Linked DNA regions of Schizosaccharomyces pombe. The protein of the gene in region 1 interacts with the protein of each later gene in a pairwise test. Each region holds a gene or a part of one and is shown on either strand. Other genes may lie near its edges.

Region 1 (4,744 bases):
GATTTATGGAACCCAACGGTTCCCATGGCTTACCTTTCTCGATCTTTACAAGGCCTTACCATTTCAAAAATTAATGAAACAGAACAAAAATTCCCTTTGAGCTCTGTCCATGCTTACGTTGAAATCGGAGAAGGTATGTTTTCAATGGAAATCGTTACTGAACAATTGCGTCTATTGGGCGCAACTGTTCATGCGTCTTTACAAATGACCGAGGAAAATCCCGTTTCTCACGCAGTACTCTACGACTGCTCACAAGAAACTCTCAAGAAAATTAGTTCTGCTCAAGTCCCAATCGTTTGTGTATCTCCTAAATGGGTTTTGGCTTGTTACTCATCTAAGTATTTAGTCGACGAGGAAATGTACTTAGTTGATCCTCAAGATATACTGCAAACTAAATGTTTACAGACTGATGACTCGGAGTTGCTGAATCCTCTTGATCCTTTCACTGACACGCAAATGATTCAGGACCCTTCTGATGCCTTCTTTTTCGATACTCAAGCAGAAAATTTAGAACCATTCGTTAATGGGTCTCCTGATTCTCATTGTTTTAATGCCGACTCATTCTTGGATCAAACTTTGTCCGATGATTATGAGTTTGGTCTCATTACTTGCAGTGATTCTAATGAGTCATCTATGTCCAATGACGCTCAACGAGAAAATAATCCAGAAACCATTTCTCAAATATCGCTATCTCCAACGGCTGATCTATTTTCGTCTTTCAAAATTACGACGGATTTAGAGATGACTCATTTAGAGTCTGCCAAAAAGAAGTATCTAGCTTACAAACCGTTAATTGGCTCTCCACTAAAAAAGAAGGTTAGTCTTATAGATTTCTAAGTGCCTTGTCTTTCTATTTCATTACTCTCTTTCATTTACAAGTTTAATTCCGCACTGCTCATTGTACATATTGTTAGATCAGTGTTTTGCGTGTTTTTCCCCTTTCTTTTATCCTGCCCATTGTCAGTTTATTTTATTTTATTTTATTCTATTCGCTCAGTCGTCACAATCCTGACCCAAATTATTTATAATCTCAATGGAGAATTAGTCAACTCTTATTTAGAACAGAAAAATGCCTTGCATTTTTCGCTTTTCTTATGTAAAGAACTACAATATTAAATTTCCGAAAAAGGTTTTCTTATTGTTTTAAAATGTTCTTTCATTTTATTTTTTCGCACTCCAATATTCGGTTGGAGGTCTTTTTCGCTTCAACTGGAAAGACAGTGTATCTTACAGCTTTTATTTTCGTCTGAGAACCCGAATTTTCTCTATCTTTTTAGATCATTCGTTTACTGGGGCTCAAATATTATTAGATTTTGTATATAGATTACAAGGAAGAGTCTGTTATAAAGGACACATTTTATTAGCCTTTTATTCTTAGTGTTAATAAACCATACCTTACATTTTACATTTTTCAGTAAATGGTAATTGATAAAATAGAAACCAAGAAAAGCATCACGCTCCCATTCTAAAAATAGATATTGGATGTACGAATGTATGTAGGTATGTTTTATTTACATTCATCGTAAACTATCAATATTCGCAAATTCACTATCTATTATAATTTAATCGCATAGCGAATTTTTTTTGTATTATAATTTATTATCGTTATTTTGATAAAGCAATGCTAACTCTCGTTATGTTTACTTTAAGTTCTTTACTTCTACGTTACCTAACTTGCTCTACTTTTTCGAACCCCTACTTTTACCTCAACCACATCATTCAATTTCAATCTATAGTATATTGGAGAGAAAAAGCGAGTGCCTTTAGCCTTAAAAGCGTTATAATATTATTATGGCTTTGGACCTCCGGATTGGGAACAAGTATCGCATTGGTCGTAAAATTGGCAGTGGATCTTTCGGAGACATTTATCTTGGGACTAATGTCGTTTCTGGTGAAGAGGTCGCTATCAAGCTAGAATCAACTCGTGCTAAACACCCTCAATTGGAGTATGAATACAGAGTTTATCGCATTTTGTCAGGAGGGGTCGGAATCCCGTTTGTTCGTTGGTTCGGTGTAGAATGTGATTACAACGCTATGGTGATGGATTTATTGGGTCCTTCGTTGGAAGACTTGTTTAATTTTTGCAATCGAAAGTTTTCTTTGAAAACAGTTCTTCTCCTTGCGGACCAGCTCATTTCTCGAATTGAATTCATTCATTCAAAATCTTTTCTTCATCGTGATATTAAGCCTGATAACTTTTTAATGGGAATAGGTAAAAGAGGAAATCAAGTTAACATAATTGATTTCGGATTGGCTAAGAAGTATCGTGATCACAAAACTCACCTGCACATTCCTTATCGCGAGAACAAGAATCTTACAGGTACTGCACGCTATGCTAGCATCAATACTCATTTAGGTATTGAACAATCCCGCCGTGATGACCTCGAATCTTTAGGTTATGTGCTCGTCTACTTTTGTCGTGGTAGCCTGCCTTGGCAGGGATTGAAGGCTACCACGAAAAAGCAAAAGTATGAAAAGATTATGGAGAAGAAGATCTCTACGCCTACAGAGGTCTTATGTCGGGGATTCCCTCAGGAGTTCTCAATTTATCTCAATTACACGAGATCTTTACGTTTCGATGACAAACCTGATTACGCCTACCTTCGCAAGCTTTTCCGAGATCTTTTTTGTCGGCAATCTTATGAGTTTGACTATATGTTTGATTGGACCTTGAAGAGAAAGGTATGAGATATCTTGGTAATAGTGCTTTTTTTATTTTCTGGGTTTCCGAGTTATTGAAAACCAATGTAATATGATATTTTATGAAGTTTACATAGTCACATTTACTAACATTTAAATTGTAGACTCAACAAGACCAACAACATCAGCAGCAATTACAGCAACAACTGTCTGCAACTCCTCAAGCTATTAATCCGCCGCCAGAGAGGTCTTCATTTAGAAATTATCAAAAACAAAACTTTGATGAAAAAGGCGGAGACATTAATACAACCGTTCCTGTTATAAATGATCCATCTGCAACCGGAGCTCAATATATCAACAGACCTAATTGATTAGCCTTTCATATTATTATTATATAGCATGGGCACATTATTTTTATATTTTCTTCTCATCTGGAGTCTTCCAATACTTGCCTTTTATCCTCCAGACGTCCTTTAATTTTGTTGATAGCGCAGGGCTTTTTCCTTGGGATGGCGAAAGTTACTTTGCTTATAGTTTATTGAGGGTTCATAGCTTATTTGGCTGAAGATCTTGTGTTGACTTAAATTCTATGCTAACCTCATGATCATATCCTCATTATGGCAAGTTTTGGTGAAAAATTTTTTAATATTAGTACATTTGCTAATAATACATTTGGTATTTGTTTTTACTACCTGTGAATCTATTCATACATTATCATATATGTTTCGAGCCAGGAACAGAAAAAAGTGAGAGAATTTTCTGCAGAAATGATCATAATTTTATCTTCGCTTAACACGAATCCTGGTGACAGATTATGCGTGGTTTAAAGCCTTTTTTTTACGACGCCATAAGCAAATTGGTTACTTTTTTATGTGTGATGAGCCTTGGGGTTTAATCTAATTAGAAGGCATTGCATTCATATACTTTTAATAATATATTATCAGCTATTTGCTGCTTTTCTTTATAGATACCGTCTTTTCCAAGCTGAACTCATTTAATCAGCGTCGTTTAACCTTAGGATGCTTAAGATGCGTTTAAATTCAATGACTTAATGCTCGAGGGATGAATGGTTTGTTTTAGTTCGTGTTCTGGGTGCATGATCTCGTGCTTGACTGTTTTATTGAAGCGTTCATTTCATGAAGTGTCTTTCGATGTTGTTCACACTTCTGTTTGCTAAATATAATAAATATTTTGCTTTTCATTTTAGTTTGTAAACATACTTGAAAAAACTAGAAAGGTGTTGTTTGTAAGTTTTTGAATTATCAATAAGATGAATTTAGAATGATGACACCTACTTCAAAATCAACAAGCATAAATGAAATAGAAATAAATTGTCTTTACTTACTATCTATTTGGTGTAGTTCTCTTCTACAGCAAGTTTTCATAGTTCACTTCGTTTGGCAAGAAATCATTATCACCGCTATACTTCACCGCCAACCACTACGAACTATTATTGCCAGTTTCAATAACGATAAATTTAAGCAAGCATCAATTTTCATTAATTTCATCGATTATATATATTAATCGTTTTCTTTTTTAAAACCATTTCTCTCTGCTTCAACTCACATGACCTATTCATAATATACACTCACTTGACCAGAGTTTATCGAAATAAATACGAAACTTGTGCACCAGGGGCTAGGAACGAATATTTTTGTTAGGTTCTTTCTTCTATCTTTTATTCAAGTAAGCTGCTATGGACAGAAAGGCGAATGCCTATTCTAAAAGCGTTGAGTTGTTATCGAGGCTTGAGGGTTGTCCCTCAGAAAAAGTTCTGTTAGAAGAGTTACGAAAATTGAGGGGGTTCATTCGAAATGATATTCCCAGTAATTTTTTTCCACAACTCTTTATTACTGACAATGGCTTTGCAGCCATTAAGAAGGCTGTCACTAAGCTAAACTTTCAATCGTTACTAAGTCTTGATATTTTTGAATGCTGCTTGCAAATATTAGGAATTGCAACTTCTTATACTATCTTGCGTTCTTGGTTACTATCCAGAAAACATATTGAGGCATGGATTGAGCTCGCTATTCGAAGAATGTTTTATTCATTCTGTGCTATACAGGATGATTCCAATATTTCCATTTATGCAATAGGTACTTCT
Region 2 (5,477 bases), on another chromosome or scaffold:
CCGCTTATAGTAGAATAGAAATAGACCAGGAAAAAGCTTACAAATTAAACCTTTATTGGCTTATGCCATTTGTTCTAAATAAAAGGCTCTTTCTTAGCATGCACTTCATCAAAAGTATAAATTAGGTAAAGCATAAAAAAACTGATTGTTATCTTCAAGTTAGCTGTTGTGCTATGTCAATTTAGTTGCATAATACATAATTAAAAATACATATGCACGTTTTTGTGTTTTTAAATAAGTTTTATGCAAATTTACATCGACATTTAACATTTGGATAATTAATTCCAATTTTAGGCAAAGCGTAAATTAAAACCTATTCAGCTAATTCATTTATAGTATTTAATTTGCCAGTTAAATACCCCTTAACTTGCAATTTATACAAATAAATAAATAATAATATTATTATCTTTTAATATCGTAAAAGGTTGAAAAGTGCTGCTTTAATATTGTTTTAATAGACCAACGAATAGAAAAACACTCGATGATTGTAAGCAATCGAAATTATAGCCACAAAAATTTTAATGTAACAAATAATAATTTTCAAGTCTCTTGTTTTAACCCAATCCTTCTAAAGATTATTTTGTTCCTTAATACAATAGTGTGCATTTTTTATGTTTACAAAATAGCGCTTTGCAACGAGTATATTCGATTTCTCGCTAAGTGCTTTCTATATATACTAAGGTGTATGTCGACTGTATCTCTTCTCTCTTCAGCACATAAAATGAACTGCTGCAACTTTTACTCAAATTACAATATTTTGCTAGTATCAAGCCTTTTCTTCTTTTAAAAGAAAAATTTTCTTTTGTCTTAACTTCAGGAAGTTGTAATAGGTATGATATTTTATGGTATTTATTTAAAACAAAGTGATGTGAAAAAAATTCTTATCTACATTGCCTGAATCATATAGATGAAAAACTATCTTGTTTACTGATTGTTTTATTCTTTTATCATTTTCTTTATATTTAGAAGCCAGGAACTTAATCTTTACTAACCATTTACTAGGTTTACATAGTTTTTTTATAGGTCATTTTTAAATAGTAATCAACGGCTTTCCCTGCAGTGGTGTTAATTGTGTATCTAAATTTTATATGCTCCTTGTGTTTAGTAGTTTGATTTGTATAAAATCGTTGCTTGAAATTTCTTTCTACCTTTTTGCTTCCTTCATTACTGTTTTTTTAACGCGCCCATCCTGGTGTCAATAAAAAAATATATATGCCATGTTTGAGAGTAAAAGATAGTAAATACAGCTTCCTTAACCGTCCCTTTCGAGGTTCATAGACCCTTACACCAAATGAACTGAAAATCAAACTTTTGTATTATTCATCTACGATACTCATGCTCGACGAATCAATACTGTCAAAATTGTATACACTTACGAACAATTAATGAATATAAAAATCAACGATTTTGATATTTTCTGTCTAATTAATCGTTTAAAGTCGACGCGGATCTTTTCAAATATTTTTTGGCTTTATTTTTGTGCTAGCTAGAATTATACGGACTAAAATTAAGCATACAAAACTATAAACACTTTAATACTCCACATTCATACGAAAATCAGATTATTATAGATGCCAATAAACGTAACAAGGTGTGCAGGCATTGCAATCAAGTATCCTTCCAAACGGTTCATCTTGTGAATGATCCGGGATGGCTTTTCAGGTTACTCACAAGCTATCATCATACTTCACTTGAATGTGGAAGGATTAGTTTTTCGCACACCCAAAAGGTCCCTTTATATATTAGGATTGTATCGATAACCCTAACCCTGAAGACCAGCGACCTTGTGCCTATTTCCTTAACTATACTGCATTCGACCAAGAGTGTGCAATTTCAAATATCATTCTAATTCTCTCTTTTCCTTTTGTTTTTTTAAGGTACTGCAGAAAAAGTGCGATATTTTTCCAACCACTTTCATCACTACAGTATTTAGCTTGGTTATCAAGTGTTGCTCACCTTTGCTCATACTACCTTGATTATTTGGGACTAGCTGCTGGTTAGCATTGTTTATTTATCCCCCTCTTCGTGTTTTTAGCAAGGAAGTCGTGGTGGGCTCGATTTATCATTTTTCCAACCTCCACCATTAAAGCATTGTTGTGACAACAAACGAATTATAGTATATATTAAGGCAATATTGTCAGCCTAATAGCATTTTTTTCTAAAAAAAAAAAAAAAAAGTCAGTTTTTATTCACTTTATATTTATATGTAAGGTTGGATGCCTAGCCAATTTAACGATAACTTTGTTGCAACCGATGATGATGTTGGTACCATGGCTCGAGTTGGTATGGCCCTTGATCGTGAGCTAAATGGTGACAGTTTTCAGGACAATTTAAATTTTCAACCAAGATCTGGTAAGCGGGAGGATTTTGAACCCTTTTTTCAAGATACTCCGAATACCAAAAGCCTTAGTAAACATTTTCACGATTTTACCATGAATGCTTCTTTAGAAACGCTTCCAAGTGTAGAGAAGCCTAGAGGACGAAATATGAATGCATTTGAAGAAACTAGTTGGAATCGCTTTCGTAAGAATGGATCTTTATTTCCTTTATCGTCTCCACCAATTTCTGAACCGGATCTTCGCCCACAGGCACTCAACGAAACTCCTGATTATCGCAATAGATTTCTAGGTGCTTTTAAAAAGCAGGGTGTTTTGGATGATCATGGCAACCTGAAATTAGATGCATCCCCTTCGTTTCTTAAGAAGCCTGCAGAATATACTCCTTTAGCAAATCGTCAAAATCAAAATCTAGCATTTGATTCACCTACAGAGGCTCTGCCTCCCAAACCCACTACCCCATGGCGACGAAACGGCTTTCGCTCAAAGACTACACCAAACCTTAATTCAGGTAAGGAGACTCCTTCTTCTTACAAGGCCTCTGCTAGACTCATGGAGCAACTAGGCCTAAATCACAGTGAGCCAAGTGTCGATTTTAATAACCAAACATCCTACCGTTTGCCTAATCTGACTAATTTGTCTTCTTTAATTCGCGATGATACAATAGATGAAAACGGTAATGCTAAAGAACACGATCGTTTACCCGAGCTAAACACTATTCCCGTTGCTTCCACAGATGAACAACTTTTCAATGCTCACCAGTTGTTGGAGAAAAAATTTGAAATTTTGAAACGAGAGCGTAATGAATGCAACGCAAAAATTGACGAACTCCAAGACAAATTAGAACTTCTTACTGACGCCTATAACAGGGAGAAAAGACGTGCTAGGAGTTTAGAGGAACGAATGTCAAAGGAGATGCTTACAAAACTTGGTGAATCGAACGTTGACGATGGTATGGCTGCTTCTCGCTATGACACAGTCAAGCGAGAAAAAGAACGCTTGTCTGAACATTTGAAATCTCTACAAGAGCAATACGAACATATTCAATCTGTTTATAAGAACGTATTATTAGACCGAGAGAGTTATATTATGCGTCTGGGTAATAAGATCTCTGAGAATAATGAACTTTTGAATGAGAATCGAGTATTAAAAGAGAAACTTCAGACATATTTGGATAAGAAGGAATCTAATGTAACAAGCAAAATAAAGTCGACTGCGGAAAACAGTTCAAAACCCTTGTCCATGAATGAAGCAGACGAAAGGAAAGACGGGCTCAACAACTTATTATTTGAAAACAAATCCGGCGCAAACACTAAAGAAATGAGCAATGGAACGGAAACTGCCAAAGAAAATTGCTCTCCTCAACAAGACTCCACTTCACCGACTTCGGGATACCAAGACTTGGTGAAAGAATTGGCCAAAGAAATTGAAATGAGGAAGTCTCTGGAGCTTAAGCTGAAACTATCGCAATCAAACAAGGCTGGTCCTGTCAAGCATCGAAAGAGAAGACCCAAATCAAAAAGGCGTATTACTGGCAAAGTCGTATTCGATTCGCCGAATGTCGCGTCGGGGGTTGAGTCTGATGAAGGTAGTGAAGAGATATCTCTTGACTCAGAGTACTCTGATATCTTATCCGATGATGGTGATTTTGAAAAGGAGAAACAAGCAACGTTGCCGAGGCGAAGAAGCTCTTCTTCGATGAAAGGAAACAAATTGGCCGAGGATAGCTACCTTAATGAAGCAGGCTTTGATTGGAATCAAGGAACTTTTCATAACGGTTCAGAGTTTGGAACGACTGGAGTACCGGATGAGCCCAATGAAGAAGAATTACCGAAACATGTTCTTAAGCAGGTGGAACACATTATCAATGAAAGTGCAGCTCATGGAGTTGGCAAGTGCAATGCGTGTCATGCTCGTCAAGAAGACTTGATAAGAGGGGAGCAGAAGGTTTCGCATTCGAATTGTTTGTATGCTGATCAGACGTTAAGACCCAGTCAACCGCCCAGCGAGGCTCTTAAGACGGTAGTGAATCAATTAACGAATGAGTTGATGGAATTGAAAAAGCGTTATGAGAAACTTTCTGACCGCTATAATTCCCTTACACCGGGTTATCACAAGCATAAACGTCAAGAGATTAAGAATAAGCTAATTAAGTTGATTGAGTGTATGGAAAGCAAGTCGGATCAGATATATTTGCTCTACGACGTCAACGTTGGTAAGGATTTTAGCTAAAGAGAAGATACCGGCTGGCTCGGTGGATGAGAGGGAAGATAACACGGAGAATGAAAAGAGAAAATTCATTTTCTTGCATCGATAATTATTATTATTATTATTATTATTATTATTATTTTTTTTTTTTTTTGAAACATGAATTAGTGACAATATGATATATTAAAGCACGCATAAAGATGTATGAAATAGAAAAAGTAAAGAAGAAGTTCCAAGAGAGGGTAATATATAAAAAGTAATTACAACAAAACATCCTGTGGTCTATACAGTAGTAATACTGCAACTCAACTAATACACCTACATCTATAAGGTAATACCGTATGTACGAAAGTAACACACTTGTGTTCCATATGGAATATCTTGCTAGTGATTATTCGCTTAATGTTAGAGAAAGTTATTAGCATTTCAATTCATGACACTCGTAGAAAAGTTAACTAAACTAGTCAAATAGACAAATGAAAAGAAATGTTTACGAAAAATTACGCTACTGTCGATCATGCTACTCTGTCGATCAATCAATCAAAAGCCACCGAGAAGGCTGAATAGGATTGTTTTGAGTTATCGTGGATTGCCTTAAATATCAGATCTAACATACTATGCTCCTGACACTTTCCTTTTTCTACCCATCCTTTCTACCTTTTGTGCCTCTGTCCTCTGCCTCTGCCCCCTGTCCTCTCCCCTAGCGCTTCTACCCACTAGCCAGACATATATTCCCAGCCCTGTCTCTTTCTCATCTAGCATAACATACTACTTTGCAGTACGCCGTTTTGCAAGGTAATTACGCTCTACTCTGCAGTAGTTCCTTACTGACCTCTTAAAGAAAGCGCTGCTAAGTTTCGCAAAAGCCGATGATTGGCGGGCAACTCCCTATCTCGGTTGCTACATAATCGTCCAGAATGGCAAGATGTTGCT

The links.
Region 2: the proteins of hhp1 (region 1) and ppc89 interact in a two-hybrid assay, tested with the Schizosaccharomyces pombe proteins (2 studies listed by BioGRID).

What each region holds. Positions count from the first base shown.
Region 1 is NC_003423.3:1,853,856-1,858,599, reverse strand, and holds hhp1 (serine/threonine protein kinase (CK1 family) Hhp1), read left to right. Parts: upstream 1-1,689; 5' UTR 1,690-1,791; coding exon 1,792-2,682; intron 2,683-2,804; coding exon 2,805-3,011; 3' UTR 3,012-3,927; downstream 3,928-4,744. Other genes in the region: mug176 (BRCT domain protein), read left to right, coding at 1-837; lvs1 (beige protein 1), read left to right, coding at 4,337-4,744. UniProt on the Schizosaccharomyces pombe protein: Involved in DNA repair. Has a probable role in repairing alkylated DNA and may regulate the activity of protein(s) involved in double strand break repair caused by gamma rays.
Region 2 is NC_003424.3:3,847,224-3,852,700, reverse strand, and holds ppc89 (protein Ppc89), read left to right. Parts: upstream 1-1,960; 5' UTR 1,961-2,216; coding exon 2,217-4,568; 3' UTR 4,569-4,743; downstream 4,744-5,477. UniProt on the Schizosaccharomyces pombe protein: Has a role in meiosis.